2 linked regions of the Arabidopsis thaliana genome follow. The protein of the gene in region 2 interacts with the protein of the main gene of each other region in a biochemical or structural test. Each region holds a gene or a part of one and is shown on either strand. Other genes may lie near its edges.

The links.
Region 1: the proteins of PRK5 (region 2) and GRI form a complex in vitro, tested with the Arabidopsis thaliana proteins (one study listed by BioGRID).

Annotation. Positions count from the first base shown.
Region 1 is NC_003070.9:19,793,900-19,797,302, forward strand, and holds GRI (Stigma-specific Stig1 family protein), read right to left. Parts: upstream 1,646-3,403; 5' UTR 1,555-1,645; coding exon 1,048-1,554; 3' UTR 824-1,047; downstream 1-823. Other genes in the region: AT1G53120 (RNA-binding S4 domain-containing protein), read left to right, coding at 1-52, 139-203, 287-385, 467-566, 644-706. UniProt on the Arabidopsis thaliana protein: Involved in the regulation of cell death induced by extracellular reactive oxygen species. Only the processed peptide, and not the full length GRI can bind in vivo to the extracellular domain of the receptor PRK5.
Region 2 is NC_003070.9:18,740,122-18,745,328, reverse strand, and holds PRK5 (Leucine-rich repeat protein kinase family protein), read right to left. Parts: upstream 3,303-5,207; 5' UTR 3,159-3,302; coding exon 2,450-3,158; intron 2,264-2,449; coding exon 1,589-2,263; intron 1,505-1,588; coding exon 828-1,504; 3' UTR 524-827; downstream 1-523. UniProt on the Arabidopsis thaliana protein: Receptor-like kinase involved in the control of pollen germination and pollen tube polar growth. The extracellular domain serves as a sensor for peptides derived from GRI. May act as a downstream element for ROS-dependent cell death induced by GRI.

The sequences.
Region 1 (3,403 bases), 1.1 Mb from region 2:
AGTCCTGATAGTTCCTGAACTAGTTGACTTTGTTGTTACCGCTCTTGACAAGGTTTAAACTTTTCTGGCTAGTTTGTGTAAAACCCATTAGCCAATATCTTGCCCTGCATTACTCTGACACTGTGTTGTTTTTCATAGGTTGGAAATGTTGGTGTAACTTGTAGTAAGATACCTTTGCTTGCTCTTGAATACGAACCGCCTAGGTATGAGCTCTAATTCCTAGAAACATACCTTCTTTTTGCATTGGAAGTTTTTTTGCAGTGGCTTGATTTTGTTTGTTTGTTAGGACTAATTCCTTTAAAACCGTGGAGGCCTCGTTGAGAATTGATGCAGTAGCTAGTGCTGGTTTCAAGATTTCGCGGTCAAAGCTAGTTGATTTGATTAGGTAAACAAAAAGCTTTATTTTTCCATTTGATCTTTCATTGCATTCTCATATTTGCTAAAGAAAATTCTTCTTTGTATGCAGTAGCAAGGATGTTCGGGTTAACTGGGCAACCGTTACAAAGAACGGAACCATAGTGAAGACTGGTGATGTTGTCTCCGTTAGCGGGAAAGGGAGACTCAAGGTAAGAAAGATTGTTGGAAAGTGAGTTTAGTTACTGATTAGTTTCAATAACATTAACCTTTTTGTGTTCAATCACAGATTGGAGAGATCAATGAAACGAAGAAAGGTAAATTTGCAGTTGAAATCATCAGATATCTTTAGAAAGAAGCTGTAAACAAATTATCAATCATTCTTTTTCTTCTCTTCTCATAGTTTTTTATTTTTTTTGGACTAGTTCTAATTAATCTCTATTAATGTAAAAGAACCGACGAAAAAATCTACAAAGTTATAACAATTTATTTATTTATTTCTATTAAATAATCATGTATGTGTTTACATATGTATACTCTCACTCACAAAATCATTACATTACATGCGTATGCATGAAGATTTTGTATACGTGAAATCCTTACGTATGCTAATAACAGTTTCTTCAAAAAAAACCAAAAATATAACAACTCAAAATTACGATATAACACTTTTTTCATTTTTTTCTATAAAAATCAAGCATACCCACAATACCCGTACTCGCATTTAACCCCGGACGCACATTTCCTAGTGCATTTCCCACAATGGTTAGGGTTAAAGTTAACGTAAGTGCAAACGCCACCGCAACAACGTTGCCCGAAACCGCATTTGTGACCGCATCGACCACAATTGTTCCTATCTCCTAGCACATTCCGACAATGCTTCTTGCAGCAATGCAAGAGGCTCGTCCCTTTATTCGCTTTTACGCCATTGCAAATGTTGTAACTCTCGACGTGACATCTCATTCCTTTCTTGATCTTCTTGTAGTGGGAAACTAGTAGCCTAGTTTTGGATGAAATTGTCACGTTTGAAAGTATCGAGGGAGTTTCGTCGAGAATGTAGTACTCCGGGTCATCTTCTTGGTCGACAACTTCATCGGCTAAAACCGAGTTAGACTTAGATGTTGCTATTATTAGGAAATAGAGGATCAATGAGAGAAGTGAAGTGGCTTTAATGAAAGTATTAGGGATCTTAATGACCATTTTGTTTTAAGTAAAAAGTAACCAAAGAGAGTTTGGCTTTGGAGCTGAGAAGAAGCAAGGAAAAGAAAGAGTGGGACTTAAGTGAAGATCTGTGTTCTTGCGATTGAAGAGGTATTTTAAGGCAGCAAAAACATTATTGAAACTTCGAATTTATTTTATTTTTAAAAGAAATTGTCTTTTTGCAGGCAATTGCTTAAATGAATTGACTTTTCCTCAAATCTAGGCTACCACAAGTGATTGTTGTCTAGATTACGTCATACAATTTTGTATCTGATTGGCGAAAAAGGTTTTCAATGGTATGGTAAAACAGTTCTTTGAATCTTTCGTTATGGTTAAAAGACAAATTAATTTGACAAATAGATATGAAGGATTTTAGTAATTAAGTATCATATAAAATAATAAGATCGACTGTGAAAATATTTCTGAAATACCTTACATAACTATAACATAAAAACAGAAAAGTAAACAACTTAAACTAAGTGAATGGCCTAAAAACCTAGAAAATAGCATGTCGATCTAAACATATAGGTACTATGAACAATACGGTCCATTTGCTTTTTCTCATCTACTATTAGTTTTCATATAATTTGAAAATCTTATGTTACTTTTTGTAGAGAGTATATATGGAGTTGAAGTCTATATAGTAGTCAGCAATGAGTAAAATCGTAAAGGAAAAATTCGAACATTAATAAATTTCGGTTCACAAACAAAAAAATACTTGAGTATTGTACCATTATTATCTTTACTAACGTATTTTTACTTTCTGTCACTTTAGCTTTTCTATGACTTTGTTGATTGCTACTTTTTTTTTCAGAAACATCAGCATTACCGTCAAGACACAAAACTACCAATCCATTTCCTTTGCTTCTGTTACATACGATTTATGTATAACTGTCAAGAACGTGAATGCATTTTTCAATACATATCATAATTGAATCAATATTATTGATGATAAAAGGTTACATTTGTTCTGTTGTATTATAATACCTTTATTATGTAAATTTGAAACTTGTTTGATCTCGAGTATGAATTAGATTCGTGACTTCGTGTACGAAAACAATAAGAAAAGAGAGTCAAACTAATTAATTTAGGCTAAAAACCATAATGGAACAAACAACACACATGACTGAAACAAAACAGCACAAGTGCTCTTTGAAATCATCAAAGTGCATGTACATGAGTTGTCTCTTAAAACAAAAGTTTTATTCAAACGTTGCACGTGTGGTGACGGTGGAACTAGATCCTTCTTTGTTGCCATTAAAGCCGGTAAGATTCACACACCGGTTACGCTTACTACGCAACGGAACCTGGCGACTGTAATGTGCTCTCTCTACCTCTACGTGTCATTATCAAATGTTCATGACAGTCGTTTCATCACCTTCTAAGTTGATTAACTTACTCGGACCGTGAAGTCCATAACGTTGAGCCGTTGACCATTAACCCTTTTTTACTAGCTCGTTGACCTAAACAACAACAGAAAAGTTGGAGGAAATAATGATACTATAATCTTATAAATATACAACTTATATTGAAATATGTGAGAAATAATGATCATGTATTGTTCATTAATTATATATTCTGATCATTGATTCTAAATTCTATGCCGCACATGACATGCAAAGGCTATGTAAGCTATGAAGCCTATACGTGTTGACAAAAATATAAAATACGCATTAGCATAAAAACAAAAATCAAATAATAGAAAACTTATGTGAAAAAATTAATGAAAAATATTTTACACTACTAATCGAATTGGTTTAGTTACCGAAGCCGCGTTTTAGCCGAAGGCGAAGCCAGAGATCGAATCTCATAGATGTGCGACTCCACGGCCGTCGTCTAGCTTTCTTGA
Region 2 (5,207 bases):
TGGTTATCGGGTCCGTTTTTTCGTCAGCCCTATCAAAGATAATCTAATATAGGCCCCAATTAGGTCTACAAATGTAACCAAAATACTATACAAAGACTAATTCTAAGTTAGGCCAAAAATTAGATCCTCTAATACAAAAGAAAAATGTTTCTTACCAAAACAATTATATACAAATTTTACACATTTACTTAAAACTACATATGTTGTATTTATTATAAAAATAACATTTTTAAACAAAGTCAATCTAATGAAGCATTATATGCAAATAGTAAAAATATTAAAAAATATTATGACATCATTTTTATACTATAATATTTTTTATGTAATTCAAACAAAATATACAATTTAATTTATACAAAATATTAATGCTGATCTAGTGAACGCATATATAAAGCAAAAATGAAATGTTAAGGCCAAAATACAGCTGACGATGATAATATATATATATATATATATATATATATATATATATATATATATATATATATATAAATGTTAGAAAAAAATAATCTACACTTATAACACGACGAGAATGGTATATAAAATTGAAAAGGCAAAAAAAAATAAAACACAAATCATTTGTTGGATTCAAGACCTAAAGCTGATGATGATGGTAATATACATTAATACAGATACATAATATATTTACATGTTTTAGTCCATTACATTCTCATACATTTTTTATCTGCATTAACCTTAAAAAGAAGAAAAACCAAGCACATGTTCTTCATTCTTCCCTCCGGCTCCGGTGAAGCTACTTCCGCCGGAATAACCACCTTTTTTTGAAACTTTTTCAATATTCCTAAAAGCAACCGAAAATCTGAAACTCATCGATTCATCGAGAAACCAAAGTCATCATCGTCTAACAACATGGAAGAATACACATTATTATGAGTCCCTCGATGATCCATAGAACCAAAATCATCTTCAGATTCTCCTTCTCTCAACATCTCAACCATCTCCACAACTTCTCTCATATCCATCCTCCTCTCTTCTTCTTCTTCGCAACATCTCAAACCAATTTTCAACAAATTAATCATTTCCGCTTTACAATTCTTCTTCCCTTTCATTTCCTTGTCGAACACGTCACCTGTTTTCTTCTCCTTAACCATATCGTTAACCCAAGTCACAAGACTCATGTTAGAATCATAACCTTGCGTTAAGTAATTTTCAGGGAATCTTCCTGTCAAAACTTCCAAGATCAACACACCAAAACACCAAACATCTGTCTTCTTCGTTATGATTTGTCCTTTCGAAGGTCTATACTCTGGCGATTTGTAAGCTGTCATGAAGTTATGTGCGTGCTCTGAGCTCATCATAGGTCTTAGAGCGTAATCTGTTAACAATGGCTCGAATGAATCGTCTAAAACAATATTCGATGACTTCATATGACCATGAGGGATTGTTAGTGTTGGAAGCTCGTCAAACAAGTAAGATAAACCCTTTGCTACTCCTTTTATGATCTTTAAACGTGTTATCCAATCCAATCCAGCGGAATTATTCGCTGCGAACGTATAATTCAAATAGTTAGTATTCACAAAAAGTTTTATAAAATGTCAAATTATTAACAATTCTTATTCAAACATACCATGAAGATGGCTTGCCAAGCTACTGTTGGGCATAAATTCAGTGACTAGAAGCTTCTCCTCTCTACGGTAATAGTAAGCAACGAGAGGCAATATATTTGGATGGTTTAATCTCCCTAACCGTCTCATATGCTCATGAAACTCATCTCTTCCGACATTGTTCATATGTTTATACCTCTTCACAACCAATGTTTGTCCACTAGATATCGCTGCTTTGTATGAAGCACCAAATGTTCCGCTACCAAGAACTTCAGCTGAAGCTCTCAAAAGATCTTGAAGATCGAATCTTTGAATATCGTCCCTCACGAATAGAAGCCTTCCTCCTGGATCAGGCATCGATCCTCTCCTTGTGTGATTTACGGATTCTGCGGGTTTATTGTTCTTGTTTGTGGATTGATGATAATTATAGCTCTCTATCCTTTCTTTTCCCGCAGAAGAAGGATAAGCTGACAAGAAATTACGTCTTCTTGATTGAACGAAACAGAACACAAGCGCGATGATCACTAGTATTATGCCAATAACAATCAAAATGATTGCTAGAGTGTAAAAAGATCCGGCCTTTTTCCCCGTGGGAGGAGAAGTAGATTTTGGATCAACGGGAGATACCGGAACAACAGGAACCCCCGGAGAGGAAGAGGAACATGGACTTAAGGGAGCATCACACAAACCTTTGTTACCTACAATTTACAAAACATAGAATATTCATGTCATCAAAAATGCATCAAACTCTTGAAAGGTTTATGCAAAATTTATATGAAAATAATGAATTCTCTAGTTGCACACCTAAAAAGGATGTCATGTTGACATTTGATTCTAAAAGCATTATATGACAATATTAATATGTAGAACATTTTTATTGTTACCTGCAAAAGAGCCTGGATCCATGTTTCGAAGACTTTCAGGTATCGGTCCATCGAGATCATTGTTTTCAAAGCTAGCTAATTTAAGATCCTTCTGTTGAAAAGATGGTATTTGCCCTTGAAATTGATTACCATTTAGCCTCAACTCTAAAAGCATTGGCAAAGAGGCTAGAGAAGAAGGAATTGTTCCTCGGAATGCGTTATTAGCCAGCAAAATTTTCTTCAAAAGTGGCATACCTAGAAATGCATCTGCGGGTATCTCCCCCGAAAACCGGTTATTAGACAAATACAAAGATTTCAGCGAAGTAAACCTCTTAACTTGAGGCATTGGGCCATTGAAGTTATTGTTCATGAAGCTTATGGTTCGCAGATTCTTCATTGGAACCAATGGGTCGAGGTTTAGTTTCCCGGTCAAACCCATTCCCTCAAGTTGTAATCCCCAAACGTAATTGCTACAAAGAACACCAAACCAATTTGCTGTATTTCCTTGACATGGTGATGATAATGGATCCCAACTACGAAATTCTGAACCATTTGCTAATGTATCTTTGAATCGCAAGAGACAATCTGCATCTGAATCCGGCACAACCACCTGAGACATTGCCACCGGACATAACACGCTGATAAAGATGATGATGAAAATGCAAGAAGGTAGATTCTTCTTCAAGGCCGTGTTACACGCAAGCGTAAACGGGTCCTCCCAATTGCGCATTGCGGTTACACGCGCAATGGAATCGATTTGATTGATGTGAAATCTCTTGTTTTCTTCTTTTTCTTTTTTGTCTTTCGTGATCGCCAAGAAATTGTGTGAACGGAAGAGAGAAAAACAAAACCTACCAAGAATAGACAAAGCAAAGTATTTAAATTTGCAAAATTGTGATTATTTTTTTTTGGATTTGTGGCATCTTAAGATTATTATTAGGTGAGAGAGTTCTTTGGATAACCATTCAATTATCTTGTTTTAACTTTTTAAGTTATATATACATGTAATCGTTGTTGTACTGATTTGTCATTTGCTTTAGTTCCAACCAAATTTATTTTTCTCTCTATATGAGAATTATTTTGGTATAACTGATTTTAAGAATCAGGCATAACTGGTGGATTGTTCTATATGATGATGATAATATCTGAACCAATTAAACAAGTAATGTGATATAACTCGGTAGAGTTTTAGAGATTTCTGTTTTATCACCAGTTACCCGTTAAAAACAAACAAACAACATGTTTTATAAATTAATCGACAAATATGGTCAGTCAAACTAGGAGTAAAACTTAGTAGTCTCTTAATTTTCTTTTCAAAATTCTAGTAATGAAATTATAAAGGATGACTTTGTTATTCCTAAATTATGTGACTGCGCACGATTAAGAGTTGTTATTTTCGGACAGTGTTACTCGAGGAAAGACATAAAAAAGACAAAAGACATAAACAATGATAAAATTAAACTTTATGGGGAGAAAATCAAATGTAAAAAAATGAAGAAAAAGAAAATGGAAGGTCAAAAAGTTGAATGCTGAAATTGTTCTTCTGAAAGAACGCGGAATTGGGTTAAAGAGCTTTAAAGTGTTGGTGGGCCGACACGATTGGTCGGCATGAAATCTTAAGGTGTGAACCTTTCAAGTACACATTTCTGCTGCTTATGCAGTGTCCATACTCCAATTTCGGTTCGTACTGGAAAACATACTAAAGTGGATGTATATTTGATAACAGTTTTTGTTTTTGTTTTTGAATACTAGTATTATATAAAAGAGATTTTTCCTAGTCTACTAATGTTTCAATCCAATCCATTGTAGTTATCAAACTAGTTATTTATGGGTATTCAAAGCTGATAATATGGTACTGCGGGGTAGTAGTATAATACTAAATAATTACTTACGAAATTAATAATGAAATGAGTAATTATAGAATGAATGCATATAATTAAGTGTTTTTTTTTCACAAAAGAAAGACGCCTGAATTTAATAATAAAGTGTATTAAATATTAATTCACATTTGTCGTAAATACGTGGATTGTAAAAGTGTATCAATCGTATGTATGTACCACTGGTTAAACAAATGTATGATGCATCAATAGTCAAACTAAAAAACTCGCTGATCTTTGAACACGAAGTTGAAAAAAAAGTCGAAAAAATCTCACTGATGTATGTAAAAAGAAAATATGTTGGTAAATAAAAGAAAAAATGGGAGGATAAAAAGGCAGGGAATAATCACAAACTTTTAGGCCTAAAAATGATAAGTGTTGGACCAACCCATGGCTTGCACGTTTGGTCTCATCTCGTTACTTTTGTTTTCGATCTCATCGATGTCTGCGTCTGTGCGGACCATTTTACCCTTGCCTTTTATTACTTCACTAAAAGATGAACACACGAATTATTTAGACATGCGGCACACAATTTTATTACGGTTAAGTTTACAGTTTTAAGGCGAAAATATATCGTTATGCTTTATGCTACATTAATTATGTATAGTAGTACTCCCTACCCAAAACAAAGTTACGTATAGTACTTTGATTGGCCATCGAGGACTCAAGGTTTACTAAATAGAAAGTAAAACAAAGAGATGTTTATTGCATTCGTCGTCCACACATAGAATAATCAATCATCATCATGATTTGTTTTACATTCTTAAGTTCTCGTAATTATTCGTTTCGTACGTTTTTTTAATTTTATTCCAAAGAATTTAACATTAATATTTTGAAGAACCATGTGCTACTAGCCTACTATTATACTCAATTGACAACAACCCATTTTATTTTGCTTTTGC